Stegostoma tigrinum: one gene and its partner. The protein of the gene in region 1 purifies or fractionates together with the protein of each later gene. This does not show direct contact. Links are inferred from orthologs where the notes say so. Each region holds a gene or a part of one and is shown in the gene's direction. Other genes may lie near its edges.

The links.
Region 2: the proteins of blnk (region 1) and btk purify together in Homo sapiens (affinity purification with western blotting; 5 studies listed by BioGRID and IntAct, with this or other methods). This does not show direct contact. The link is inferred for Stegostoma tigrinum from reciprocal best matches to the Homo sapiens genes BLNK and BTK.

The regions. Positions count from the first base shown.
Region 1 is NC_081373.1:40,742,912-40,758,915, forward strand, and holds the start of blnk (B-cell linker protein), read left to right. Parts: upstream 1-8,710; 5' UTR 8,711-8,831; coding exon 8,832-8,906; intron 8,907-9,317; coding exon 9,318-9,380; intron 9,381-16,004. UniProt on the Homo sapiens protein: Functions as a central linker protein, downstream of the B-cell receptor (BCR), bridging the SYK kinase to a multitude of signaling pathways and regulating biological outcomes of B-cell function and development.
Region 2 is NC_081368.1:71,921,700-71,937,465, forward strand, and holds the start of btk (tyrosine-protein kinase BTK), read left to right. Parts: upstream 1-7,506; 5' UTR 7,507-7,595; intron 7,596-15,766. UniProt on the Homo sapiens protein: Non-receptor tyrosine kinase indispensable for B lymphocyte development, differentiation and signaling. Binding of antigen to the B-cell antigen receptor (BCR) triggers signaling that ultimately leads to B-cell activation.

The DNA.
Region 1 (16,004 bases):
CATTTAATGCCATTTTGCTCATTTCTATACCCGGGCTCTCAAATCTCAGTGGTCTTCCATTGTCCCTACTTTTCGACCACTTAGGAAATACCTTGTTCTTTTCCTTTACAGCCCCATAGTGGACTACCTCATATTTTCCTACACCAAAATGCATTTGCCAGTTTTTATTTTATTAACTTAATCTATTAATATATCTTTATGGTTTTACGCTTTCAACAATACTGCTTAAAATGCTGCTAATCTTTAGTTATTGATAAGTCTGGTTATGAGGCTTTCTATCCCACTATCTAAATCACTATAAGTATGGTAAATAGTTGCAGCACATTGCGACACATCATGAGCCACTTCCTGAGTGCCTGCTCATTATTGCTAATTGTTATCTCCCACACGCAATTAATTTCTTAATTAGACCAATAACTTGCCTTCAATCCATGAATTCCAATATTAGCTATCAGTCTTTTAAGAGGGACTTTATCAAATGCTTCCAGGTAGAACATAATGTCTTTACCCATTCCCTTGTCCGGTACTTGAGGCAAATTTTAAAGAACTCAAACTCATCCATCAGGCCAGCCTGTGATTTACAAACCCATGTGGTGCACTCTGAATGGATGAAAGCTTTTGAGATGTTCCATCACTCTAGCCCTAATTGCAGATTCAAGTAATGACCCAACAATAGTTTCGTGTGGTTAAAATGTGGGATAGATCCCATGTGGAGCCTCAAAGAGCTCAGGCAGAGGTTTATGCATGTTAGAATAAAGGGTTTCCTTCAGAATGGGGCTCGGTGCATGGTAGATAGGTCACAAAACTCTATCATATATATCTTTAGCTAATTTAAAGGAATTGCTCTGGAGTATCTAATTGGAATCCAATCTTTCGATTCTTTTATAAAGCGGAGGTCAACCACCCCTTGAAAAAAAAACTGAAATACCCAAAGAGGAGTGTTTCACCCTATATAATCTGTAGGAGTGTGAGAAGTGGTATAACCTGCCTTTCAGCAACTTCTAGGGGTCAAATAAAATAATTCCCTGATACTCACTTTAAAATCAACAAGAAACAATTTATTTATCTTAACTCTAACAGTGAACAAATTAACTGAGGTATTAACAAACTAAATAAACCCCTTCTGAATACTGAGTATTCACAAATAAAGCTAGATTCTAGTGGTATGCTGCTCTAATAAATATAAATCCCACTTATATAAAATAGAATTTAAAAAAAACAATTTAGTCTGTCAAAATTACACATAGGTGATGTCTTCCAGAATGTTCTGTGCCTTTTCCATTGATTATTCTGTCAGGAAAATTAACTAGTTATGCTGTTGGTACCTTTGTGATTTAGATGGTACTTTCTCTATCTTCTACACTTGACTTCATTCTAAGAGCAACCAAGATGCTTGACTCTGATGTTACAACCTGGTAAAGAGGGATGAATTGACTCCACTCTTTTTAACCTCCTCGTTTGGGAGCAACAAAGATGTTATGTCATTTTCAGCACACAGCCATGCCTTACTCTAATTGCAGTTGATTAGTTCAGCAGAAACAATAAGTAACCAATTACAAGGTTTTCTTGAGTAAAAGGAAGAGTGTTTTATTAGTGCCGGATTCCAAGAAAAATTATGTAGACACAATATTAAATACACACACAAGTGCAGTTACAAAGATAAATGACTGATAGCATAATGTACAAAAGGAAGATTAGAAAACAGGCAGTTTCATTTCTTAGAGTGGTCTCAAGGCGTTAGATTTTAACCTGAGACCTCGGTCAGTTATGTATGTCCTGGCTCAGTGAAGGATATGAATATTTGAAATATCTTGGAGTCATCAATGCTAAGATCTTTCTTTATTCACTTCATCACTAGAATTTGTCCTTCCTTAAAAAAACAGTGAGAACGAGAGAGAAACTTTTCCTGAAAGAGAGCTCATTCATGTATTTGTTAAGGTTCATTGTCTCCAAGCGGGATAATTGTAGGTGACATTTTTTTCATGAAAAGTTTACATTTTGGAAATAAAAGTGTAAATGCATCAGGGGTTTATAGGCTTCTTCAAGCCTGACTGGTTTCAGCAAACTGGAATTTGGCTAACTTTTGGTAATCTGAGAGAATGCAAAAACAAAAAATTGGAAGATTTATGGGCTGGTGCAGGCCATTCGCTCCCTCAAATCTGCTCTGCCAGTCAATAAAATCACGACTGATCTGATTGGCCTTAACTCAAATTTCCTACCTGCTCATCCAGCAACTCAGTCTTTAATATATTCACCAATCCCACCTCTGTGGTTTTTTGGGGAAGATAAATCCACAGATGAATAACTCAAAGTGAAAATATTTCTGTTTTACCAAGTGAGTGCTTGTACCAAGTAAGCTGGCAGATCTAGCAGACAATGGAAAAGGGAAATAGCAAGTTGACCTCACCGCAAGGAGATGTGAGTAGCGGAACAGGGATGTCCTGTGCAATTGTACAGGACCTTGGTAAGATCACACTTTGGAGTACTCTGTGCAATTTTGGTCTCCTTGACTTTTTTTCATGAAAAGTTTATATTTTGGAAATAAAGGTGGAAATACATCAGGGGTTTAGAGGCTTCTTCCAGCCTGACTGGTTTCAATCCTTTTTGATATAAATGTTTCTTTTTCAAGTCAGACTGGTTTTATTTAATTATGATTTAATGAACTCAGCTTAACTTGTGTCTCAGGAGCACAAAAGCTGACGTTTCGGGCCTAGACCCTTCATCAGAGAGGGGGATGGGGTGAGGGTTCTGGAATAAATAGGGAGAGAAGGGGAGGCGGACCGAAGATGGAGAGAAAAGATGGAGAGAAAAGAAGATAGGTGGAGAGGAGAGTATAGGTGGGGAGGTAGGGAGGGGATAGGTCAGTCCAGGGAAGACGGACAGGTCAAGGAGGTGGGATGAGGTTAGTAGGTAGGAAATGGAGGTGCGGCTTGGGGTGGGAAGGAAGGGATGGGTGAGAGGAAGAACAGGTAAGGGAGGCAGAGACAGGCTGGGCTGGTTTTTGGGATGCAGTGGGGGGAGGGGAAGAGCTGGGCTGGTTGTGTGATGCAGTGGGGGGAGGGGACGAACTGGGCTGGTTTTGGGATGCAGTGGCGGGAGGGGAGATTTTGAAGCTGGTGATGTCCACATTGATACCATTGGGCTGCAGGGTTCCCAAGTGGAATATGAGTTGCTGTTCCTGCAACCTTTAGATGGCATCATTGTGGCACTGCAGGAGGACATGTCATCTAAAGAATGGGAGGGGGAGTTGAAATGGTTCACTCCTTAGTGACAAAAGCTCATTAAAACTGTCTTCTTCACAATGAAGTTCAGTTCTTCACTTTTGAAGATCAAACCTCCATATTTCCTCAAAGGTTTCCCCAGCTCAGACCAACTCAATGGCTGCTCACCTCCCAGTATTTCAATCTCTTCTTCTGAGACTGTGTTCTACTGAACTTGCAAACTGAACTCAAGCTTTTAATTACTCGCATGACTTTGTCTCATTTGCACACAGCCAGCACCACTTAGCTGACACAGCTCCTGAAATTTTCCAAACTCCACTTTCATGGGCTACACCAAGCAAATATTACATTCAGGCTTCCTTGGGCCCCAAATTTCAGCTGCAGCAAACTGCTCCCGTTATTTCAAAGAGCTCCCAGCTTCTCATAGCTGACAGCACCTGTGAGTAACAAGTGTGTGGGAAACTTCAGTCATTGGAACCAATAATCAGAGGAAAGTTGAGCCCATAAATAGAATGCACAGAAGTGGTGAAAAGTTGTTCCTTCAAACACAGGCTGTTCTCTTTTTATATACTTGCTGCCGGTAGATTCACAGTAGCAAATAAAGGAGAGAAGCAGCTGTGGTTGGAGCAGTAGACAGAAGGTAGTAGTAATGGAGAGCAAAGCTACTCCCCTGGATTAGTGATTGGAACCATGTTGAATTCATTGGCTGTGGGATCCTTGATTGGGATTGTTAACCTGAGCTAATCACGGAACCCTGGTTGACAGATATAAACAGGGGATGATCCTTATTCTCTCCCTTCACTTTTTCTTCATGTAAGCATTGTCCTTTTTGGGTTTTGCTTCATAATGGTTCAGTGGCCACCTGAGTGTTTTATTCTGGTGGTGGAAATACTGAATGAAGTTCTTGTCCAATGACGTCTTTTTTACTGAGTCACTGCACACACATGCAAATCACTGGTAATGTGGGGAAAATGTAAGCACTACTTCTATACAATGGCAGTGTGGTGGATGAGAAAAAGGAGGAGAAAAAAAGAAAAGAAAATTAGAACGGGGATTCAGAGAGTCGTGACTTCAGAGACTGAGTCAGATGTGGCTGGTCACAGCCAGTGTACTTGCACATGTAAATAAAACCCAGTCTCCGTGCAGTAAAAGGGAAGGACAGGCCATGGTGCTAGGCTGCTTTAGGAGGGGAAGAATGCCAGGTGATTTCAGGGCCTGGGAAAAGATGCTTCCAAAATGACAGGGGAGGCAGGCCGGGGGCAGGGGGTGGGGGGAAAATCAGTGTCTGTGTGGAATTGAGGCTGGCCACCTGGAACAAAAGTGGAGTGTAGTTAGAGACTGACTGTGATGAGGATGAGGGAGGGGAGAAAAGATTGAACAAGAAAGTCTGCAAAGTGAGGTAGAGTGCTGCAAAGTGGAAAGAGATGCTGCAGGGGGGAGAGAGGAGTTGCAAAAAGGAGATCATTTCTGCAAAGGGGAAAGAAGGTCACAAAATGGAGAGAGGACCTGCAAAGGGTGAAGAGGGACTGTATTTGGGGGAAGAGAACCACAAAAGACAACAAGGGGCTGCAAGCAGGGGTAGGAGATGAAAAAGGAGAGTGATGAGCTGCAAAGATGAAGATTTGCATTTATGTTTTATTATAGAATTCACTGAATCCCTCCAGTGCGGAAGCAAGCCATTCAACACAACAACCCCACACACATCCTCCAAAGACCATCCCAACCAGACTCATCCCTATCCTTATAAGTCTGCATTTCCCATGGCTAATCTATCTGGACCACACGTCCCTGGACACAATGGGTAATTTAGCACAGACAGTTCGCCTAACGTGCACGTCTTCGGACTGTGGGACAAAACCCACGCAGACACAGGGAGAATGTGCAATCTCCACACAGACAGTTGCCTGAGGCTGGAAGTGAATCTGGGTCCCTGACGCTGTGACGCAGCAGTACTAACCATTGAGCCACCATGCTGACCCACAGTGGTATTTAATTATACCATATATATCATATATTATAATATTAGTTATTATATATTTATTATACATTATAATATCTAATTCATATAACAATCTCTGCCTCAACAAAGGAACTGGTCATTGACTTCAGGTTGACATGCCCCTGCCCATTTCAATGGTGTTGAGATGGAGGTCGAGAGATTCAAGTTCCTCGGAGTAAATATCACCAAAGGGCTATCCTGGTCCACACACGTCAACACCACTGTCAAGATAGCACACCCACAGATCTATTTCCTCAGAAAGCGAAAGAAATGCAGCACATCTACAATGGCTCTTATCAATTTTTACAGATGCACCACAGAAGGTATCCTATCTGCATGCATCACAGCATGGTATGGCAACTGCTCTTTCCAAAACCACAAGAAATTACACCGAGTAAATTACACTGGGGCAGCACGGTGTCTCAGTGGTTAGCACTGCAGCCTCACAGCACCAGGGACCCGGGTTCGATTCCAGCCTTGGGTAACTGTCTGTTCGGACTTTGCACGTTCTCCCTGTGTTTGCATGGGTTTTCTCCAGGTGCTCCAGTTTCTTCCCACAGTCCAAAGGTGTGCAGGCCAGGTGGATCGGCCATGCTAAATTGCCCGCAGTGTTCAGGGGTGTGTGGGTTATAGGGGGATGGGTCTGGGTGGGATGCTCCAACAGGCAGTGTGGACTTGGTGGGCCGAAGGGCCTGTTTCCACACTGTAGGGAATCTAATCTAAAAGAGTTGTGAGTACAGCCCAGTCCATCACAATAAAAAGCCTTCCTTCTACTGACACCATCTACACTCCTTGCTGCCGTGGGAAAGCAGCAAACATAAGCAAAGACCCCTCCCACCCTAGTTATACACTCTTCCAACCTCTTCCATTGGGAAGAAGATGGAAAAGTTTGAAAACACATACTAAAAGACTTAAAAATTGCTTCTTCAGTGATGTTATCAAACTTATGACTAGACTTCTCATGTATTAAAGTTGATCTTTCTCTGAACCTTCTTTGTAGCTGTAATATGATATTCTGTTTTCTGTTCTCTTACCCTGGTGTACTTGTGTAAGGTATAATTTGTCTGGTTAGTACACAAAACAATACTTTCCACTGTACATCACTGCTTGTGACAATAATAAATCGAATCACCGTGCTGCTACATTTCAAAACATCTCAATATGCTACAAATTGTGAAAAATGCATTGACTGTGTTGGAGCCATACATATAACCACATAGCAGTGGCCTCACATGTCCTTGGGAAGTATCTTTAGGTTGTTCGCTATTTCTATATAAAAATATATTTCAGGGTGTTCACTTCAGAAGGCAATGTTTCTGACTTAGTCCCGGTATCATTAATTACTTTAATGTCATGAGTGTTAATGATTTCCTCATGAGTTGTAACATTATGTTTAACAGAGCAGGCAGGATTATTGTGGATATTGACAAATTCTTTTCATTTTGCTTCTGTATGAGCCCCAAATACCCCATATGTTAACACAAATTCAGAAGTAACATTACTACAATAGTACAGCAGCAGATAAAAATAAAATGCAGTGGAGGTGCCGGTGTTGGACTGGGGTGGACAAGATCAGAAGTCAGATGACACCAGGTTATAGTCCAACAGGTTTATTTGAGTCACAAGTTTTCAAAGCATTGCCCCTTCACCAGGTGTAAGTGAGAACAAAAAGGAGCTACTGAAAACCAAAAAAAGGTCAAATATCAACAGTATCATGCAAAATAAAACTGTCAAGAAGACCCCTTAAAAACATTTGATTTGAAGTGGAACGACCTCTCTCAATGACTGTTCCTCTCCCCATGACTAAAACTGATCCTTTAACTCCAGTCTAATAGATTGCAAACAGTTTGGAGTAACCTATTAAGGCATTCTCACTTAATGATGTAATTATCTCATTGCCTCAATCAATTGGTTCATAGGTCAATCCTTCACTTGTTATTCAGCTGTTGACACTTTAGATCACCTGCAAAGACTTGTTATTCAGCCTGTCAACACCCCCCAAACACTACCTGTACTAATCTGTTAAAAAATCTTAATTACCTGGAATTGTTTTGCCATTATATTTCCACCCATGTATTCTGTGGCTGTGCGCTTCCCTCTGCTTCACCTGATGAAGAAGCAGTGCTCTGAAAACTTGAGATTTCAAATAAACCTGTTGGACTATAACCTGATAGCATGTGACTCCTGACTTTGTCCATTCCATTCCAACACTGGCACTGCCATGTCACAATATTTGAGATTTTAGCAGTGAATAACAAAGATACTGCCAGATGCCCAGTTTCACTACATTAGATTACATTAACTCATGTACATCAGTGAGCTCGTGATAGCGTCCATTCATGATCTTCAGATGTAGAGAACGCACCTGCATGTGACACTGAGGTCACTATGCAGTGCTGTATTAGCTGCTCAGGAATTGGCAAACGGAATTGTTTGTACAAAGATAAATGTTTCTTTTTGTTCATTAATGGGAAGTTGGTATTACAGGGTAAGCCAACATTAAGGCCCACCATTATTGCCCTGGAGAAGGTGGTAGTGATCTGCCTTCTTGGACTGCTGCGATCTATGGGTGTAGGTACACTCAGAATATTTTTAGGAAGGGAGTTCAGGGAAGTCAGGAATGATGTGTGGATTCAAGAGGAATTTGCCATGTGGTGGTGTTCCCAAGCATCTGCTACCCCATGTCCTTTTTGATGGCAGAGTTTGTAGGTTTGGAAAGCGCTGTTGAAGGACCCTTGGTGAGTTGATTCAGTGTATCTTGTAGATGGTACATACAGCTGCCGCTGTGCCCGTGGTGGAGGGAATAAATATGAAAGGCAGAGGATGGGGTGCCAACCAAGAAAACTTCTTGGTCTTGAATGGTGTTGAGTTTGTTGAGTTTTGCTGTTCCAGGCAAAAATATTCCACCTCACACCTGACCTGACCCTGTAAATACTGGACAGGTTTGGAAAATTTACTTTCTACTTTGCAGTAAACCTGAGCGGTGTGACATTACTCATTGAATGCGCGTTCACCGTACTAAATCTCTAGCAGGATTGAGGGAGACTCTACACCACAGCGACTACAACAGCTTCAGGCTGAGGCTCACCAATACCTTCTTTAAGGATGATTCGGGATGGCGTATAAATGTCATCTCAGATGTACCCCTCAAAAAATACAAATAATTGCATTATTTATATAATTCCAAAATATTTATGCATTTCGTTTGCACCATAAACTGAAATCAACGTAAAAGCGTGATAAAAATAGCACCAAAAAGCTTCATGTCAGAAAATATATCCATATTCCTATATGTAATAATATAACAAGCGGAATGGTGAACAGCCCTCTACAGCTGCTTGTTACACTTTAGCAGCTGACGACTTTTCTCAGCAATTCAGGTGTCCATCAGGTATAATCTCCAAATTTCTTTTGTAACTGTCCGTCATTTTGGTCAGACTAACATGCGATTGCGTGAAATAGACGTGGGGGGAGTCCCATTGCATACTGTGAACTCCAGGTCTTGAAAGCTTCCGCCTTGTACCGGGAGAGAGCGGAGCAGGAATTAGTTATCAGAAGTAAAAACACAACGATCAGATCAAAGGCCGAGGTAGCGAGCTCTGCAGCGTACAATGGCCACAAAGTTACCAACTCGGGAAGAGTTTGAAAGTTGGAGACCTAGGGAGCTAGCAGAATTCCTGAGACTGGTAAGACGGAACTTTCCTCTCGTTTAAATACAAATTTCATACAGGCTTAAGTAGCTGTTAAACCGTCGCCTTCGTTTCACTTTAAGAATTGTTTATACACAGCGATAGCTCACAAAAACGTGACAAGATAAATGCGAATATACGGGGGGGGGAAACTGCAATAGATATTTAAGGCAATCCAGGAAGGTTACTTTTTTGTTAGGTAAAAAACATTATTGTGGACAAGGAGTGCCATTGGAGGATGAGATGTGATCTCTTGTTGACGCACTTATTCCAATTATAAACCTAAAGCCCATTGTTAATTATGCAAGGTTTTGCCTCAAATATATCACTTGGACTTAGATCAATTGTGACTTTTGGACAAGCTAATATTTGAAGCTAAATATTTCCTTGTTTCTCACTTATACACAGAATAATTTAAGTGAACCTGCCAGTGTGGTGGAAAGGCACAAAATTTCTGGGACAATGCTTTTGGTAAGTTTAATGATAAAAATATGCTTTCCTTCATAAAGTTGAAATGTCATCTTTATTTGTCCTTGGAGTTTTCAACTTACATGCCTCTTCAAAGAGGCATACAACGTGGAAATGGACCATTTTCTCCAACCAGCCCACACTGACCATTATCCCAAACTAAACTAGTTCCACCTGCCTGCGCTTTGCCCCTATCCCTCCAAACATTTTTTAATCATGTTCTTACCCAAATGTCTTTTAAATGTTGTAACTATACCCACATCCACGATTTCCTCTGGAAGTTCATTCCATACATGAACCACTTTTTTTTAGAAAAAGATGCCCTTAATGTTTTTTTTTAAATCTTACTCATTTCATCTTAGAAAATATAGCCCCTTGTCTTTAAAATCCCCCACTCCAGGGAAAAGATACCTTCCATTTACCTAACCTATACCCCTCATGATTTTATAAACCTCTGTAAGGTCACTCCTCAACATGCTGCACTCCAGTGAAAAATATCCAGCCTTTTCTTATAATTCAAACCTCTATTCCTGAGAACATCTTGGTAAATCTCTTCTGAACCCCCTCCAGTTTAATGACCTCCTTCGTATAACTGGGTGACCAGAACGGGACACAGTACTCCAGAAGACACGACAGCCCAACTCGTATACTCGGAGGTCTGAGCAATGAAGGCAAACATGCCAAACACCTCCTTAAACACCCTGTCTATATGTGATGCCAATTTTCAAAAAATTATGTACCTGAGGTCTAGATCTTTCTCCTCTACAACACTACCTAAGGCCCTACTTTTAATTTTATAAGTCCTGCCCTTGTTTGTTTTACCAAAATGCAAATCGTCCCACTTATCCAAATTTAAACTCCATCTGCCACTCCTCAGCTCACTGACCCAATTGATCAATATCTCTTTGTAATCTCAGGTACCTTCTTTGTCAGACATTTTCATTGTCCACTGTAGTACCAAATTTAGCGTCATCCGTAAACTGACTAAACATGCCCTCTATATATTCTCATTCAAGTCATTTAAAGAAATACCACACAGAACTTTGTCAAAAGCTCTACTAAACAAGTAAACAATGCCTCCTGATCTGCCGTCATCAGTCTTCTTAGTTACTTCCTCAAAAGAGTCAATCAAGTTTGTGAAAGTGTGATTTCCCTCGCACAAAACCATACTGACTATCCTTAATCATTCCTTGCCTTTCCAAATGCATTTAAATCCTTTAGAATCACCTCAAACAACCTACGCACTAACAAAGTCAGACTTACTGGTCTATAGTTCCCAGACTTCTCCTTGCATCCTTTCTTAAACTAAGGCACAACATTAGACACTTGTCAGTCTTCTGGTACCTTACTCAAATTTATAGACAAAGCAAATATTTCCGCAAAGGGCCTCATGGTTTCATCCCTGACTTCCACAGTGTCTTGGGTCCCCTAGTTCAAGTCTCGGAGATTTATCCACTTTATATTTGCTAAGACCTCTAGCGCTTCCTCTTCTGTAATGTGAACTGTTTTCAAAACATCAATATTTATTTCCCTGTGTTCTCTAGCCTCCATTTCTCTCTCAACAGTAAAACCTGATGCAAAATATTCCTATAATATCGTTTTCAACTCCAAAGATGATCTGTTTGATCTTTAAGGGGCTGTACTCTCTCTCTCTCTCTCTCTCTCTCTCTCGTTGTTCTCTCACTTGTAATGTATTATGTAGAATATTTGGATTAACCTTAATCTTTTATTTGTCAAGGCTATCTTGTATCCTCTCTTTGCCTTCCTGATCTCTGTGTTAAAAATGTTCCTAGGCTGTTTTTATACTGTTCAATAGATTAATTCGAAGCCAGCTGTCTATATGTAATATAGAACATAGAACATTACAGCACAGTACAGGCCCTTCGGCCCTCGATGTTGTGCCGACCTGTCATACCGATCTCAAGCCCAGCTAACCTACACTATTCCATGTACGTCCATATGCTTGCCCAGTGACGACTTAAATGTACCTAAAGTTGGCGAATCTACTACCGTTGCAGGCAAAGCTTTCCATTCCCTTACTACTCTCCGAGTAAAGAAACTACCTCTGACATCTGTCCTATATCTTTCACCCCTCAATTTAAAGCTATGCCCCCCCCTCCCCGTGCTTGCCGTCACCATCCTAGGAAAAAGGCTCTCCCTATCCACCCTATCTAACCCTCTGATTATTTTATATGTTTCAATTAAGTCACCTCTCAACCTTCTTCTGTCTAATGAAAACAGCCTCAAGTCCCTCAGCCTTTCCTCGTAAGACCTTCCCTCCATACCAGGCAACATCCTAGTAAATCTCCTCTGCACCCTTTCCAAAGCTTCCACATCCTTCTTATAGTGCGGTGACCAGAACTGTACACAATACTCCAAGTGCGGCCGCACTAGGGTTTTGTACAGCTTCACCATAACCTCTTGGTTCCGGAACTCGATCCCTCTATTAATAAAAGCTAAAACTCTGTATGTCTTCTTCACAGCCCTGTCAACCTGGGTGGCAACTTTCAAGGATCTGTGTACATGGACACCGAGATCTCTCTGTTCATCTACACTGCTAAGAATCTTACCATTAGCCCTGTACTTTTCCTTCTGGTTACTCCTACCAAAGTGCATCACCTCACACTTGTCTGCATTAAACTCCATTTGCCACCTCTCAGCCCAGCTCTGCAGCTTATCTATGTCTCTCTGCAACCTACAGCATCCTTCGTCACTATCCACAACTCCACTGACCTTAGTGTCGTCTGCAAATTTACTGACCCATCCTTCTACGCCCTCATCCAGGTCATTTATAAAAATGACAAACAGCAGTGGACCCAACACCGACCCTTGCGGTACACCACTAGTAACTGGTCTCCAGGATGAACATTTCCCATCAACTACCACTTCTTTCAGCAAGCCAATTTCCGATCCAAACTGTTATATCTCCCACAATTCCATTCCTCCGCATTTTGTACAATAGCCTACTGTGGAGAACCTTATCGAACGCCTTGCTGAAATCCATATACACCACATCAAACTGGTTTACTCTCATCTACCAGTTTGGTCACCTTCTCAAAGAACTCAATAAGGTCTGTGAGGCACGGCCTTCCCTTCACAAAACCGAGCTGACTCTCCCGAATCAATTTATTCTTTTCTAGATGATTATAAATCCTATCCCTTATAACCTTTTCCAAAACTTTACCAACAACTGAGGTAAGGCTCACTGGTCTATAATTACCAGGGTTGTCTCTACTCCCCTTCTTGAACAGGGGAACCACATTTGCTATCCTCCAGTCATCTGGCACTATTCCTGTAGACAATGACGAGTTAAAGATCAATGCCAAAGGCTCGGCAATCTCCTCCCTGGCTTCCCAGAGGATCCGAGGATAAATCTCATCCGGTCCAGGAGACTTATCTATCTTCACCTTCTGAAGGATTTCTAATACCTCTTCCTTGTGAACCTCAATCCCACCTTGTCTAGTAGCCTGTATCTCAGTATTCTCCTCGACAACATTGTCATTTTCTAGAGCGAATACTGTTGAAAAATATTCATTTAGCGCTTCCCCTATCTCATCTGACTCCACACACAACTTACCACTACTATCCTCGATTGGGCCTAATCTTACTTTCGTCGCTCTTTTATTCCTTAAATACCTATGGAAAGCCTTAGAGTTTACCCTGATCCTATCCGCCAACAACTTCTCATGTCTCCTCCTGGCTCTTCTGAGCTCTCTCTTTAGGTCTTTCCTGGCTACCTCGTAGCCCTCAAGTGCCCTAACTGAGCCTTCACATCTCATCCTAACATAAGCCGCCTTCTTCCTCTTGACCAGAGATTCCACCTCCTTCGTAAACCACGGCTCCCGCACTCTACAGCTTCCTCCCTGCCTGACAGGTACATATTTATCTAGGACACACAGGAGCTTTTCCTTGAATAAGCTCCACATTTCTAATGCGCCCATCCCCTGCAGTTTCCTTCCCCATCCTATGCTCCCTAAATCTTGCCTAATATGATTCTTCTTTACTCTTTACTCTTGACTCAAACCACAATATCCTTATTCATCCATTTGTTCTCTAATCCTACCAGCTGTACCTTTTTGCTCTCACAGGAACATAATGATTATGAAGTCTTGCTATCACACTTCTGAAAGCTTCCCACTCATCAGACATCCCTTTTCCTGTGAACAATTTACTCCAATGAATTTTGAAAGTTCTTGTCTCCTATAATTAACATTTGCCTTACTCCAACTAAGAACATTTTAACTTTTTTATGGAAGGCTTATCCTTTTCCTTAACTATTTTAAAACAAATAGAATTATGATCGCTAGACAAAAAGTGTTCCTGTGCTATCACTTCAGTCACTTGGCCTGCCTTATTTCCCAAGAGAAGATCAAGTTTTGCTCCTTTTCTATTAGGAACATTTACATATTGATAAAGAAAATTTTCTGGAACATATTTAACAAGTTCTTCACCATCCGAACCATTGACACAATGGTGGTCCCAGGCAATGTTTGGGAAATTTAAACTATTACAACCTTATTATTCTTGCATATATCTGAGGTCTCTCTACGTAGTTGTTCTTCAATTTCCCTCTGACTGTCAGGGATCTATAGTACAATTCAACAAGGTGATCATTCCTTTTTTATTTCCAACTTCAACCTGTACATTTTCACTAGATGATTTTTCAGAAATATCTTCTAGTTACAGCAGTAGTGTTTTCCTCAATCAAAAATGCCACATCCCCTCCTGTTTTATCTTTTTTTATCCTTTCCATGGCATCTGAAATCTGGAACATTGAGGTACCACTCATGTCCATCCCTCAGCAAGGTTTCTATAATAACTATGATGTCCCAATCCCAAAAATGCCATGAGTTCATCAGCCTTACCCATTGCGTTGAAATAAATGCAGTTTAATTATTCAAAATTATTTCATTCTCTGACTTGCTATTGTCTGTCTTTTCTAAGTTAACTTGTTCTTTTCAGATTCAAAACCATCCTCATCTATCTTTCTATTTACTCTGCCATTACTTAGGGTCCCCCAAATCCCTTTTAATAGTTTACGGTTTCCCTTAATAGAATTAGCAGGAAGATTTGCTCAGATATTGGTCTCTTTCCAGTTCTGGTGAAACCCATCCTTTGTGAACAGGGATAACAAGGTGTAGAGCTGGATGAACACAGCAGGCCAAGCAGCATCAGAGGAGCAGGAAAGCTGATGTTTTGGGCCTAGACCCTTCTTTAGAATCTTTACTGCCCCAGAAGAGTTTCCAATGATCCAAGAACCTCAATCCCGTCTTCAACCATTGATTTATTTCGTTTATTCTTTCCCTCGTTTGAGCTTGGCACTGGGACTAAACCAGAGGTCACTGTGTCATACGTTGTTCAAAGAAACGCATGTCACAGTACTGTGTTTGATAGAATACAATATAGCATTGGCTAAGACACTTTTTAAAAAAAATTACAGTGCTACAACTTAAAATACACCATTCAACAACAGCTTGTACTTATATTGAATCCCTAATGTAATTGAAGATCCAAAGATAATTCACAGGAGAGTAATACAATAAAATTTAACACTGCACATTTAAAGAGATAATGGGGCTGATAAACAAAATCTTGATCAAATAGCTGGGTCTTATGTAGAATCTTAAAGGAGGAAAGAGAAGGGGAGATATTTAGGGAAGGAATTTTCTAAATGTTAGGACCCCAGTTGCTGATGACTAACAGTGTGATTACAATCAGGACTGCTCAAGACACCAGAAATGCAGGTGCACAGTTATCTCAGAGGGTTGTGGAGTGAGACAACAATACAGAGATCAGGAGTGAAGAGGCCATGATGCAATTTAAAACCCAAGGACAAGAATTTTTTAATTGTGCATTGCTTCTCCAGGAGTCAATGCTGATCAGTGAGGACAGTGGATATGAGGAAATGGATCTAGTATGACTTAGGACAAGGGAAACAGTTTTGAGTGACCTCAAATTTGTGGGGCACATGAATGCAGACCGGCAATCAAGAATTGTCACTCAGTTAACAGTTCGCAAGAAAAAGGGAGATCAATTAAATGAATTTTTTTTAGGAAACTGCATTGCCTATTTGCTGAATTATTTTCACGTAAGTTAAGGACTTAGGAACAGATTTTGAAAATCAATGAAACAGAAAATGCTGGAACATTCAACCTGCTTGAACAGGATCAATAGTCAGAGAAAGATTAGGGTCAGGCGAAAAGAGCAGTTTTCTCCACTAGCCTCTAAGAAAATTACCCACAAAGATCTATTTCTCTCTCTACGGTGTGGAATCCCACTTTGCGACTACCGTTTGAATCTACTGTCAAGTCATTTGAGTCTCTAGGCATGCAACAACGATGACTTTATCAAGAAGGATCAACAGACAAGGTCGTTGTACATGCACAGATAGAAAACCAAGAATGTATTTTGATTCTAGTTAATAGTTAACAGGGTAAAATAAATAATTGAGACATACATAATGGATTGAGGTTGAAGCTGAACTAGCAGAACCAAAATTTTGAAAAAATATGCTAAATTGAAATTCATTGTTTTTGTCATAATAGGGAAATATGACTTTCTACAAATGTGAGGTTAATTTTTCAGAGACAGTGAAGCCTATTCAGCAATGATCAGATTAGTTCACCA
Region 2 (15,766 bases), on another chromosome or scaffold:
TTTTCACTGAGGAACAGAAGAATATTGTAGAGGAGATGACTGAGTTATGGGCTACTAGAATTGAAAGGATTAAGGTTATTAAGGAGGAGGTGTTATCAATTCTAGAAGGTGTGAAGGTCAATAAATCCCCTGGGCCAGATGGGGTTTTTCCGAGGATTGCCTGGGATGCTAGGGAGGAGGTGCCAGAGCCTTTGGCCTTGAACTTTAAGTCCTCATTGTCTACAGGTTTAGTACCAGAGGACTGGAGGATTGCAAATGTTGTGCCCTTGTTCAAGAAGGGCAGTAGGGATGACCCAGGTGATTATAGACCTGTGAGCCTTATGTCTGTTCAAGGAAAAATTTTGGAAAGGATTATAAGATATAGGATTTATAATCATGTAGCAAGCAACAATTTGATTGGAGATAGTCAGCATGGATTCATCAAGGGCAGTTTGTGTCTCACAAACCTCATTGAGTTTTTTGAGAAGGTGACCAAGCATGTGGATGAGGGTAGGGCAGTTGACATGGTATACATGGACTTCAGTAAAGCCTTTGATAAGGTTCCACATGGTAGGCTAATGGAGAAAATACAGAGGCACGGGATTGAGGGAGATTTAGCAGTTTAGATTAGAAACTGGCTTTCTGTAAGAAGGCAACGAGTGGTGGTTGATGGAAAATATTCAGCCTGGAGTCCGGTTACTAGTGGTGTGCCTCAAGGATCTGTTTTGGGACCACTGCTTTTTATCATTTTTGTAAATGACTTGGATGCAGGCATTGGTGGATGGGTTAGTAAGTTTGCAGATGACACTAAAGTCGGTGGAGTGGTTGTCAGTGTGGAAGAATGTTGCAGGTTGCAGGGAGACTTGGATAAACTGCAGAATTGGGCCGAAAGGTGGCAAATGGAGTTTAATACGACAAATGTGAAGAGTTTCACTTTGGGAGGAATAATAGGAAGGCAGAATACCGGGTCAATGGAAAGATTCTTGGTAGTATAGATGTGCAGAGGGATCTTGGTGTCCATGTACATAGATCACTGAAAGTTGCCACCCAGGTTGATAGGGCTATTAAGAAGGTTTACGGTGTTTTGGGTTTCATTGGTAGAGGAACTAAGTTCCGGAGCCGTGATGTCACGATGCAACTGTACAAAACGCTAGTGTGGCCTCATTTGGAATATTGCGTGCAGTTCTGGTCGCCCCATTACAGGAAGGATGTGGAAGCATTGGGAAAGGTGCAGAGGAGATTTACCAGGATGTTGCCTGGTCTGGAGCGCAGGCCCTGTGAAGAAAGGCTGAGGGACTTGGGCCTGTTCTCATTGGAGAGAAGGAGGCTAAGAGGGGATTTAATAGAGACATACAAGATGATCAAGAGGATTAGATAGGGTGGACAGTGAGAGTCTTTTTCTGAGGATGATGACTTCAGCTTTTATAAGGAGGCATAGCTATAAATTGAGGGTGATAGATTTAAGACAGATGTCAGAGGCAGGTTCTTTACTCAGAGAGTGGTAAGGGCATGGAATGTAGTTAACTCAGCCACATTAGGGGCATTTAAACAGTCCTTGGATAAGCATATGGATAATGATGGGATAGTGTAAGGGGAGGGGCTTAGATTAGTTCACAGGTCGGTGTAACATCGAGGGGTGAAGGGCCTGTTCTGCATTGTATTGTTCTATGTTCTATGTACTATACAAATAGTGTTTGGTTGGCAACAATAAATTAATTGGTCTGTGGATAATTGGTGAGAATCTGGAATGCACTGTCTTGGAAGGTTGTGGAGCCTGGAACCCTTTAAAACAAATTTGGATCAGGACTTCAGATATCATAATATTCAGAACTTTGCGTCAAGTGCAGGAAATTAGGATTAGCACACTTTTTATGGTAGTTTTGTCAGTACAGATTTGATGGGCTGAAGGGCCTTTTCTGTGCCATATCTGTGACTAGTGACTAGTTATCAGTTATCAGTTATCAGTGACAAAGGTCTTCTGCTTTCCAACAACTATTTGATTGGATCTCTAGTTGCTGAAAAAGTTACAGAGAAAGGCTTTCAGGTCTTCACCAGCTCAGGAGCGCTCTCTGTTCTCCGAAATAAAATTAAGCCTGGAGCATTTGCTGTTCACTGTGGCTTTCAATTAATAAGTCAGAGACTTATAAGTATGGACAAGCCACTGTACTTCCTGCAAACTGATGAAAGCATCGAGAGAAGGAAGAATGAGAAGCAAAGTTCTGACCTGCATAAGAAACAAAAGATTTTTTTCAATTGAATCTTTTCTGTTATCAGGGATCACTGACTTACCTTCCCAGTCCTTCACTCTATATTTATTTTCTGTCTCAGTCTGTCCGTGTGTGAGTGTAAGGGGGAGTTAATAGAGGGTTTGGAATATTAATTAGTCGAGTTACATGCTGACATCTTATAATGACTACCTGTACCCATATTTTAATTACCTGCAACAAATAATATTTTTTGTTCAGTACAGAAACTTGATGCATGCTTTCTGTTAACCTGAGTCTGAAAATTAGGTAAATTGGGGAACTTTGTGAAGTTTTTAAAAATTTTTAACTTTTATGATGACTCCAGGAATAATGGGTGTTAATTTCCAGCACACTGAATCAGTGAGTCAGGACAAGTGATTTAACAATGAGAGATCAGATGTAGAGGAAAGACCAAAATAGAAGATCTAAACTCAGAAGGTGGGAGTCAGTAAGGGACGGGATGATTGTGCACGGCAGGATCTTGAGACAAATCTAATAAATCTGGAGGGATTGTCAATGTAACAGAATTCCGGCTGGTGACAATGGTTCCAATCTGAAATTGTTGAACTCAAAAGAAGTCTGAAGGACTATTAGGCACCAAATTTAGAATGAAGTGTTGTTCCTTAATCTTACGTGGAACTTCATTGATATAATAGAGGTGATCAAGGACTGGGAGGTCACTGACATTAATGTAACTAGAATCAGGTTAGTTTGAAGCTTAATTAGGCACTGAATAGACATGTTCCACTCCTCCAAACTGCCTCTGGTAAGCCACTCACTCTGGGCTTGATGTTGGTACTCACATTTCTAGAACATAGAACATAGAAAAGTACAGCACAGTACAGGCCCTTCGGCCCACGAAGTTGTGCTGTGGAATAATCCTAATCCAAAAATAAAATAACCTAACCTACATTCCCCTCAATTCACTCGCTTAAATGTCACTAATGACTCCACTTCCACAACTACCACTGGCAAACTATTCCATGCGCTCACAACTCTCTGGGTGAAGAACCTCCCTCTGACGTCTCCTCTGTACCTTCCTCCTAACACCTTAAAACTATGACCCCTCGTAGCAGTCAATCCTGCCCTGGGGAAAAGTCTCTGGCTATCGACTCCATCCATGCCTCTCATTACCTTGTACACCTCGATCAGGTCACTTCTCTTCCTCCTCTCCAGAGAGAAAAGTCCAAGCTCAGTCAACCTTTCCTCATAAGACAAGCCCTCCAGTCCAGGCAGCATCCTGGTAAACCTCCTTTGCACCCTCTCCAAAGCTTCCACATCTTTCCTATAATAGGGCAACCAGAACTTGACACAATATTCCAAGTGTGGTCTCACCAGGGTTTTGTACAGCTGCAGCATAACCTCGCAGCTCTTAAACTCGATCCTCCTGTTAATGAAAGCCAAAACACCATATGCTTTCTTAATAACTTTACCCACCTGGGTGGCAACTTTGAGGGAGCTATGCTCTTGAACACCAAGATCCCGCTGTTCCTCCACACTGCTGAGAATCCTGCCTTTAATCCTATGTTCAGCCTTAGGTTCAACCTTCCAAAATGCGTCACTTCGCATTTGTCCGGGTTGAACTCCATCTGCCATTTCTCAGCCCAGCTCTGCATTCTGTCACTGTCTCGCTGAAGCCTGCAATAGCCCTCGATACTATCAACGGCACCTCCAACCTTTGTGTCATCAGCAAACATACTAACCCACCCCTCAACCTCCTCATCCAAGTCATTTATAAAAACTACAAAGAGCAGAGGCCCAAGAACAGAGCCCTGTGGGACACCACTCAACACTGACCTCCAGGCAGAATACTTACCATCTACAACCACTTTCCGCCTACTGTCAGCCAACCAATTCTGAATCCAGACAGCCAAATCACCCTGTATCCCATACCTCCTGACTTTATGAATGAGCCTGCTGTGGGGAACCTTATCAAATGCCTTGCTGAATTCCATGTACACCACATCCACTGCTCGACCCTCGTCAACCTGTCTCGTGACTTCCTCAAAGAACTCAATAAGATTTGTAAGGCATGACCTGCCCCTCACAAAGCCACGCTGACTCCCTTTAATCACACTATGCTTTTCCAAATAGTCATAAATCCTACCCCTCAGAATTCTTTCCAAAACCTTGCTGACCACAGACGTAAGACTGACTGGTCTGTAATTTCCAGGGATTTCCCTATTCCCTTTCTTGAAAAGAGAAACAACATTTGCCTCGCTCCAATCTTCCTGTACAACTCCTGTGGAGAGTGAGGAAGCAAAGAACTTCGCCAGCGGCTGAGCTACCTCCTTTCTTGCTTCCCTGAGCAACCTAGGATAAATCTGGTCTGGCCCTGGGGACTTATCAATCTTAATGTTTGCCAAAATTTCCAGCACATCAACTTCCTCAATCTTGATCTGTTCAAGCTGGTTTTCCTGCTCCTCAAAGCTATCATTCACAGCAAGGTCCCTTTCCTAAGTGAATTAGGTCCTGAGCCTAAACTGCTGACCTGGACGTTATGACGTTGGAACAACCAGCTGCTGCTATAATGCTAGCTTCTAATTCACAGCTAGTGAACTCCTGCCTTCTGAACCCACAATCACCACTTCGTAGTCATAGCATTATTCGGCATAGAAACAGGCCCTTCAGCCCGCCATGTCCAGGTCATCCAAAAAATACCAAACTACACTAATCTCAGATACATGCACTTGATCCATAGCCTTATGCATTCTAGCATTTTAAATGCTCATCTAGATGGTTTTTAAATACTGTGAGTGTATCTGTCTCCACCACCCTACCAGGCAACGTGTTCCATATTCACCAAAAAGTAAAACAAAAAACTGTGGATGCTGGAGATCTGAAACATAAACACATGTAGGTCCAGCAGCATCTGTGGGAAGAAAGCAGGTTTAACATTTCAAGTCCGGTGACCCATTTTCAGAATTGTTAGTAGTTCAGACAAAGTAATATTTATGCTGAAGATGAGGTTAGGTATGGAGGGAGGGGGAGATGGAAGGGCAGAGGTGAGCAAATAAGTGGATACAGAGCCCAGAGAGAGACAGAAAGAGATATGAAAGGGTAGCTAAACAAGAAGGTTATGGATAGCAGGCCTGGACAGAAGAAAGGCTGAATAAGTGAAATAAGACCTAAGAGTAGGAGAGAATAGGTGAACTGTACTGACAGTATACCATATAATATGACAATAGGCCGAGGAGTACATGGGAATGAGTGACAGTGCTAAAAGCAACCAATGTCACAATAGGTCCAATGTAAGGTGGTAAAATACATGGAAGGATAGAATCTGGCTCTAAAGTTATTGAACTCAATTTTGTGTCCTAGAGGCTGCAGGTCCCCAAGTGGAAAACGAGATGTTGCTCTTCAAGCTTGCACTGATGCTCGCTGGAACACTGCAGCAGGCCTGTGTCAGAAATGGTGGCATGGGAACACGGTGATGTGTTGACATGGCAGGCAACTGGAAGCTCAGGATCATTCTTAGGGACAGAGCGTAGGTGTCCTGCAAAGTGGTGACTCAGCCTATGTTTTATCCTCCCTATGAAGAGGAGAAACATTGTGAGCAGTGAATGCAGTAGACTAGATTGAGTGAAGTCCAGAAAAATTGCTGCTTCACTTGGAAGGTGTGTCTCGGACCTTGGATAGTGAGGAAGGAAGAAGTAAATGGGCATGTATTACACCTTCTGTGGTTGTATGGGAAGGTGCCATTGGGATGTGAGGAGATACTGGGAGTTGAGGAAGAGTTGACCGGAGTGTCAGGGAGGGTATGGTCCCTGTGGTAGGCTGACAACGGAATGTGTCTGGTCATGGTGTCCTCCTGGAGTTGGCAGAAACAGCAGTTAATGATCATTTGGGGCGCAAAGTCTGGTGGGATGGTAAGCAAAGACCATTGTTGTGGGAGAGAAGAGATGCAGTGATGGCAGAAAAGCAGGAGATTAGTTGAACACAGCTGGGTGTTGAATAAAGAGGCAAGAAAATCTTGTAACCACTTTGTAAAACATTGGGTAGGCCACAGATGAATATGTGCAGTTCTGGTCATCACATAATCGAAAGGATGTGATGGCACTGGAAGGGGAGTGGACAAGATTCAGAGCTTCGCTCTTTCTTCAGGTGTTACTGAAAGTGGTAGTATCAAACACAGAATTTTATGCTTTATTTAACCAAGCCTAAGATGCTGTTCAATCTTTATTCAGTTAGAAGGTTTTAATTGATTAATATGTGTAGGTAAATTCCTGAATTCCTTTCAAGTCATTGTCCTGAGAGAACTAAAGGTTTTATCACTGTAAATAAGAGGTGACATTTTAGGTTGGACAATGCATGCTAGGTTATAACTGCATGTTATAAATTCTGTGTCTGATACTACCTCTCTCACTAACACCTGAAGAAGGAGTGAAGCTCTGAAAGCATGTATTTTCAAACAAATCTGTTGGGCTATAACCTAGTGTCATGTGATTTCTGATCTTATCCAGTCACTCCACATAAGTGAGACCTTCCATCCCAGGCAATATCCTGGTGAATCTTGTCGGCAACCCTTCCAGTGCAATCACACCCTTTCATTTATGTGATGACCAGAACTGCACATATTCATCTGTGGCCAAACGAATGTTTTACAAAGTTGTTACAAGATTTTCCTGCCCCTATATTCAACAACCAGGCTAATGAAGGCAGCCATTCATATGCAGTATCTACCTGTGCTCACACCTTCATGCATCTATGGAATCGTGTACCAAAATTTCATGTTAACCTTTCCATTGTAAAGGTGTCTGCTCTTTGGAAAAGTTTCTGCCTTTTATGCCTGTTGTGATGACATCAAAGATAACTTACCTTCTGATTCAATGCTACCTCAGGTTACCTCTAACGCGAAAACGAGTGATTAGTTTGCAGGCAACAGCTTGTGAAGGCTTTTGTGGTGCAGTGGTAGTGTCTCTACCTCTGGGCCAGGATGCATGGGTTCAAGTCCGACGCACTCAAGAGCTGTGTCATAACACCACACCTCTCTGATGAAGGCTCTCGGCCCGAAACGTCAGCCTTTGTGCTCCTGAGATGCTGCTTGGCCTGCTGTGTTCATCCAGCCTCACACTTTGTTATCTTGGATTCTCCAGCATCTGCAGTTCCCATTATCTCTGGCCATAACACCTTTGAACAGGTTGTCGAGGTAAATATCTGGAGGCACTAGCTACAGAGAGACAGCAAACAGAAGAGGGCAGCACTGGATATGTAAATACAAATTAATTTAAATAAAAACTGCCCTCTGATGGAAATGAGGAACTTATCTGTTAGTTCCTGGCACAGGGTGGAGCTAACATTGTCTGAGAGAAATTAAAGAGGCAGGGAAGACAGCTAAACTGATCCCTGCCGTGCATGGATAGCTTGTAGGTAAGTGAAACAGGGAGTCTATGTTGGGCAGTATAATAATGTGTGGATTCAGTTATAATCTATTCATTTCAATGTATTTTCACAGTGAGTGTGGGGAGAGTAGCTTATTTTGTTGGTTGGTTCATTTTCCTGTTTAGTTTGGATTTGGGGAACTGCAGAACTGCAAATGTTTTTGATCTGTGTTTCTGCAAACCAGTCCTGTTTGATGAATAATTAAGGAGAGAGGCCTCTTTGATTCTACTGTCCCTTGGTGAAGCAATGTGCTTGGGAGTGGGACTGAGGTTACAATCTCACTTGTGCGTTCCAGCCCCAGGTTCCTTCAGTATCTGTGCCGTAAATTACAGGCTCTGACGGCTGTAAAGCTGCCCCTGTCTGCAGTGTGGCAAAGCTTTATCCATCTTCACTGAAGGTGTGATCCTTTCAAAACCATCAGTAAATGTGCAAATAAACCCAGCACTTCAGCTTTTGCCACAGACAAAAGAGTTATTTGAAGAGAGGATGAAGGAGGCTGGCATTAAAATTGCAATTCCTCATTTTAATTTTAGCTCCCAAACCACTAGTGTTTACCTTTGGGATAATAGGTTACACCTTGACTTAAATGTAAATCTCAAAAACTTGCAAAGATCACACCAACAGATGAACAAGTACAGATCAAGCATTGTGAGAGGAGCTATCATTTGGATATGGGATTAAAAGGATGGCCTGCCTGTCCTTTTAGTTGGATTGAAAGATCCCTTCATGAGGCCATGAGAAACGGACATGGGTGTACAGAGTCCTGCTCTTCCAGCCTGCTCCATCATTTGGAAAGATCATGGCCATCAATTCAAATTTCTACTGTTCTCCCTATTTCCCTTCAGTCTAAAGTTATCAATCTCAGTCTTGAATAGAGAATCACAGAAACACACACCCCATCAACAAACAGCCAAGAGATAGTAAACTGTAACTGACCAGACCCTTAGGTGGTAAAGAAGGTGTACGGCATTGGTTGGGGCATTGAGTATAAAAGTAGGCAAGTCATGTTGCAGCTGTATTAGAATTTAGTTTGGCTACATTTGGGGTATGTGCAGTCCTAATCACCACACGAAGGAAGGATGTGAAGGCGATGGAGAGGGTGCAAAAGAGCTTTGCTAAGATGTTAGATGTTAACTGGATTCAAATGTATTAGCCAGTTACAGGGATTGTTTTCATGAGAATGTCAGAGGCTGAGTATCTAAAATTATGAGAGACATGAATAATTGGCATCTCTTAACCAGTTTGGAAATGTTAAATACTAGGGGCCATAGATTTAAGTTGAGGGGGGGCAAGTTTAAAGATGTGTAAGAAAAGAATTTTGACAGTGAGAGTCGTGGGTGCCTGGAACACCAGGAGAGGTGGTAGAGGCAGATACATTCGCAAAGTTTGAGAAGCATTTAGATAGACACACAAACAGGTAGAGAATAGAAGGATATGGACTACGAGCAAGCATATGGCATTAGTTTCGAATATCATCATGGTGGGCCAAAGGGCCTGTTCCTGTGCTGTACTGCTCTATGTTTATGTTCGCCCAGGAACACATTTTCCATTAATTGATAGCACCTGAAAGCCCACACCCAACAATAGACAGCACTCTGGAATACACATTCCATCAAGAGGCAGCAATCGGGAACCTGCACAACATCAACAGACAGCACCTGGGAACACACGCTCCATCAATAGTCAGTAGCCAGGAACACACACCCCCATCAATAGACAGCCAGTGGGAGCACACACTCCGTCAATAGACAGCACCTGTAAACACACACCCCATCAATAGACAGCACCCAGGAGCACACATCCCATTAATAGACAGCACCTCAGAACACACACCCCATCAACAGACAGCACCCGGGAACACACTCCATCAACAGACAGCAGCCAGGAACACACACTCCATCAACAGACAGCACCCAGGAACACACACCCCATCGACAGACAGCACCTCAGAACACACACCCCATCAACAGACAGCACCCGGGAACAGACACCCCATAAATAGACAGCTCCCAGGAATACATTCTCCATCAATAGACAGCACCTGGGAATACATGCTTCATCAGTAGATATCATGCAAGAAGATATTAAAATTCTGAGAAGCAGAATTATTTTCAAGTGGAGAGGTAGGGGTTAATCAATGATAGGCAACATGGCTTTCTAAGGCAGATGTCATGCCTAACGAATTTGATTGAATTTTCTGAGTGAACTGGGTGTGTAGATAAGGGTAGTAAAATTGATGCTGATGGACTTCAGTAAGACTTTTAATGAAGTATTCTGCGGCAGGCTGGGTAAGAGTGTAACCATGTACGGGTTTCATGGAAATTTGTCAAATTGGATCCAAAATTGGTTTAGGGTCAGAGGGTGATGATAAAGGGTGTTTTTGTGACTGAATGCCTATATTCAGTGGCATACCACAAGGTCTGGTGGTGGGTTCTTTGCTGTTTGTTGTGTACACTAATGATCTAGACATGACTGTAAGAAATATGATCAATAAGTTCATGAATGACATGAAAGTTAGTGGTGTTTTCAATAAGTGAGGAGGAAAGCCTGAAATGGCTGGTCAAATGGGCTGAACAGTGGGAAATGAAATTTAATTCTGAAAGGTGTAAGGTGATGTACTTTGGGAGGACTAATTAAAAAGTAGCATGTTGGGATATATAGAGGACGAGATGGACCTTGGTGTGTATATCCATAGATCCTTGATGGCAGCTGGGCAGGTAGGTTGTTAAGTTTGTTAAGAAGGCATATCGGATACTTGCCTTTATTAATCAAGGCACTGAATACAAGTGCAGGGAGCTTATGATGGAGCTGTTATTATGTTAGTTATATAATATATATATAATGCCCCAGCTGGAGTACTATGTGCATTTCTGGTCTCCATGCTGTAGAGATTGCTCTAGAGGAGCTACAGAAGAGATTCACTGGGATATTGCCTAGGCTGGAGTGATTCAGTTATGATGAGAGGCTACCTGGAGTCTTCCAATCCTCTAAAATTTTTAACGAATCCAAAAGTTTTTGAAAGATTAAGATCAGTCCATCCTTTATCTTTGTAACTACTTCCTTTAGTGTACTTGGCTATAAGTCATCAGATTTGGGGATTAATTGGTCTTTAGCCCCATTATTTTCCTTTGTATTTTTGTTCTAATGATAGTGATTGTAAATCTTTCCTTTCCTCTTTTATCCCCTCGCTAATTTAGCATTTTTGGAATACTATCATTGTCTTGTACCATGAAAACTGACTTAAAGTATTTATTCAGCAGCACCTCCTTTTCCTGGTTCCCCTTATAATTTCCCAGTCTCTGTTTCTAGAGGGTCAATGTCGAGTTAATAATGACACTGAGTTTCAAACATCTTCCCCCACTGCTTGAACAAAGCAACAGTACAAACACAACTCACGATGAGTTCTAGTAACTTGGTTTTATAAATCCAGCATCTATGTCCACAGCCCTTGATTTAAAAAAAGACTTTTTTCCAATTTTGATCCACAATCCGAAACAAGGAAGAGTAAAGAGATATGATCTTTATATGCCACCACCTTTACAAAAGATTAAACAATAGATTAAGGGGGAGGTGATAGCCTAGTGGTATTATCACTGAACTGTTAATCCAGAGACCCAGAGGGTTCGAATCCTGCCACGGTAGATGAAGGAATTTGAATTCCAATAAATCTCTGGAAGTAAGAGTCTAGTGATGACCATGAACCCATTGTCGATTGTTGGAAAAAAACCCATCTGGTTCACTAATGTCCTATAGGGAAGAAACTGCCATCCTTAACTGGTCTGGCCTATATGTGATTCCAGACCCACAGCAACGTGGTTGACTCTTAACTGCCTGGTCGGCAATGAGGGGTAGGCAATAAATGCTGCCTAGCCAGCGACGTTCTCATTCTATAAATGACTTCATAGAATCCCTAGCGTGGAAACAGGCCCTTTGGCCCAACAAGTCAACACCAACCCTCAGAGGATCCCACCCTGACCCATCCCCGTAAAAATCCACCTAATGTACAAATCCCTGAATACTACAGGAAATTTAGCAGGGCCAGTCCACCTAGCCTGCACATCTTCAAACTGTGGGAGGAAACTGGAATACCCACAGGAAATCCACACAGACACAGGGAGAATGTGCAAACTCCACATAGACAGTCACCCAAGAATTGAACCTGGGTCTTGGCGCCGTGAGGCAGCAGTGCTATCCACTGAGCCACCATGCCATCCTACCGAATAAAGGGAAAAAAAATTAAGGAATGCATTTCATCTCAAGATATCTGACACATAAACAGCAAAACAAAAGACTTACATTCATTCATCCTTCCTACCCCCTATCCAATGTTATGCAATGTTTCAGCATTTCTTAAACCTTTTAACTTATTCAGTCTTTTTACACTAAGAACAATGCATTTGTGATCAGATTAGTGGATAGCTCAGATATGAAATCCACCGCCTAGAAATGCGATGGAGCAGGTTCAAATTAGGTTTCCATCAGAGCTTTAGATGATTATTTAGATAGTAAAGGTGTGCAGGGAAATGGAAAAGGCAGGAGATTGGCAATAGGTCATAGGACTGGTGCAAGCATAATGGACTGAACAGCCTCCTTCTGCGCCACAACAGTTCTTTGACTCTGTGATCCTGAGGTGTCATCTTTTCCAGCAATATGAATAATCTTTCCATTGAATGGTGAAACGATAGACATTATCCAGAGAGTCTGGCACTTTGAATTTAAACTTTTCAATGAATGCCAGTGGATTATGGTCAATATAGATTATTGTATTATTGCTGTTATGGTTAAAGTAGATTTCAAAATATTGATGGGCTAATAATAATCCAAAAGTCTCCTTTTCTATAGTAGATAGTGAAAGATAAACTGGATGCTGCCTAGACCACATGATAGAAAAGGAAATTCTGTCCCTAGAAGGGGTCATAACTAATAAGGAAGAAGTCTTGGAGAGTCAATTGGTCCTGAAAATGAATTAAGTGCTGGGACTGGATGAAGTACGTCCAAGGATTTTGAATGAAGTGAGGGTAGAAATTGCAGAGGCACTAGCATGATCTTTCAATCTTCCCAAGACTCTAGGGAGGAGCCAAAAACCTGAAGAATTACAAACACTATGGCTTTTTCAAGAAATGCTGGAACGCTAATCCCAGAAATTACAGACCAATCAGTTTAACTTTGGTGGTGGAAGAACTTCTAGAAATAATTATTCAAGATACAATCAGGAGCCAAATGGAAAAATTGGGTTGTTTAGGAAGAGTCAGCATGGATTTCAAAGGGAATGTCGTATTTAACTAACTTGCTGGAGTTTTTTGAAAAAGTAACAGAAAGGCTTGATGAGGATAATATTGTTGATATGGTGTACAAAGATTTTCAGAGGTATCTGATACATTGCCACACAACAAGCCTGCGAGGAAAATTATAGGTCATAATAAAACGGACAGGAGCAATGTGGATACAGATTGGCTGAGTGATAGGAAATGGATATCTTTTGGGCTGGAGGATGTTTGGTAACGGAGTTCTCCAGGGATCAATATTGGGACGCTTGCATTTTATGCCAGAATTCAATGGTGAGAGGGGAGACTTTCCAAGTTTTCAGACAGCAAACAAACTTGGAACAATTGTAAACTGCAAGGATAAAAGTGTGGAGCTCCGAAATGTCAATTAAGTTGGTGGAATGGGTGGATAGGTGGCAGATAAAGTTCGAGATGATTCAGTTTGGTCAGATAAACATTGAAAGCCAATATAAAATAGTGGGTACAATTCAAAAGGGGGAACAGGAGCAGAAGGATCTCAGTTTGTATGTGCACAGATCATCATTGACCGTGGCAGAGCAAGTCCAAAGAGCAGTAAATAAAGAATACAGTGGTCTCAGCTTTATAAATAAGGGCACAGAGTACAAGAGCAAGGAGGTGATGTTGAACTTCTGGAAGACACTTGTTAGACCTCAGCTGGAGTATTGTGTACAATGTGGACACCACGTTATAGGAAAGATATGAATGCATTGGAGTGCAGAGAGATCTCTGGCAACCACCTAGAAACGGATATCCATTTCAAGCTCACCGATTCCCTCAGCTACCTAGAATACACTTCCTCCCACCCACCTTCCTGCAAAAATGCCATCCCCTATTCCCAATTCCTTCGCCTCCACCGCATCTGATCCCAGGATGAGGCATTCCACTCCAGCACATCTCAGATGTCCTCATTTTTCAAGGACTGCAACTTATCCCCCTCAGTCGTCGAGAATGCCGTAGACTTGTCTCCCGCATTTCCCGCATCTCTTCCCTCACAGCCCCTCCCCACAATGACAACCAAAACAGAATCCCCCCCATCCTCACGTACCATCCCACCAACCTCCGGAGCCAATGCATCATCCTCTGACACTTGCGCCATCTGCAATCTGACCCCACCACCAAAGATATTTTTCCTTGCCCACCCTTATCTGCTTTCCGGAGGGATCACTCTCTCCAGGACACCCTTGTCGTCCCACACTCCCCTCCAGCCCCACCACATCTGGCACTTTTCCCTGCAACCGCAAGAAGTGCTACACCTGCCCCTACTCCTTCCCCCCTTACCCCCATCCCAGGCCCAAGAAGACTTTCCACATCAAGCAGATGTTCACCTGCACAACTGCTAATGTGGTACACAGCATTCCAAGGCTGGGGATTGCTTTGCAGAACACCTATTCTCGGTTCGCACTAAACAATTGCACCTCCCAGTCACAGACCATTTCAACTCCCCCTCCCATTCCTCAGATGACATGTCCATCCTGGGCCTCCTGCAGTGCCACAATGATGCTACTCGAAGGTTGCAGGGACAGCAACTCATATTCTGCTTGAGAACCCTGCAGCCCAATGGTATCAATGTGGACTTCACAAGTTTCAAAATCTCCCCTACCCCTACCGCATCCCAAAACGAGCCCAGCTTGTCCCCGCCTTCCTAACCTGTCCTTCCTCCCAACTATCCCCTCCTTCCACCCCAAGTTCCACCCACATCTCCTACCTACTAACCTCATCCCTTGACCTGTCCGTCCTCCCTGGACTGCCCTATCTCCTCCCTACTTCCCCACCCACACTCACCTTTAGTGGCTCCATGCCCACCTCTTTGACCTGTCTGTCTCCTCTCCACCTATCCTCTCCTCTATCCATCTTCCATCCGCCTCCCCCTCTTTCCCTACTTATTTCAGACCCCCTTCCTCTGCCCCATTTCTGAAGAAGGGTCTAGCCCAAAACATCAGCCTTCCTGCTCCTCTGATGCTGCTTGGCCTGCTGTGTTCATCCAGCTCTATACCTTGTTATCTCAGATTGTGCAGCATCTGCTGTTCCTGCTATCTCTGATGGGAGAAGAATCTTTTTCACACGGTCAATAGTTAGGGACTGGAATTCCATGCCTGGAAATGTGATGCTGGTAGGTTCAATTGGGGCATTCAAGAGGGCATTATCGGGTTATTTGAATAGCAATAGTGTGTAAGGGCATGGAAAAATGTAAGAGATTAACACTAAGTAAAAATCTTTGTTTGAAAAACTGGTACAGGAACAATGGGCTGAATGACTTCTGTCCTGTAAGAATTCTGTGATTCTAAAACATTGGTACAGTTTCTTAGAAAAGTATTCACCAATGCTTCTATTCCTGACCCATCATCTTGCACTTCTCCCGAAGTCACAAGCACCAATCACCACTTTAAAAAGTTTGATAAAGTCAGAAGTAGCTAATGCCAATTCATTTGTTATGATTGCCTTCAATCTCTCAAAGGGTGCTTGGCATTCTGCTGACCAGACCACATTTCTTTGATTTTGTAACAAATTCATTAAAGACATAGCTATGCTGCTGAATTTACACACAAATTCCTGGTAGAACCCACGTGTTCTTAAAGATGTCATGATTTCCTATTTATTTTTGGAATAGTGTATTCTAATAGAGCCTTCACCCTTGATGTTCTTGGCAACACTTAAATTATCTTGGACATTTAGGATAAGTTATCCTTGTTCTTGAGAATTCAGTCTGGGCCAGTTGACTTTTCCTTAAGTAATGGTTATGGACCACTTAACGCAAGGCCATAAATCAATTCAAATGGACTAAATCCAGTAGATCAGCTTTTGTAATCTTTGGTAGTGGGTCATAAGAAATCTAATCCTTTCTGTCAATCCTTTCGTTAATTGTGGCTGAAACCT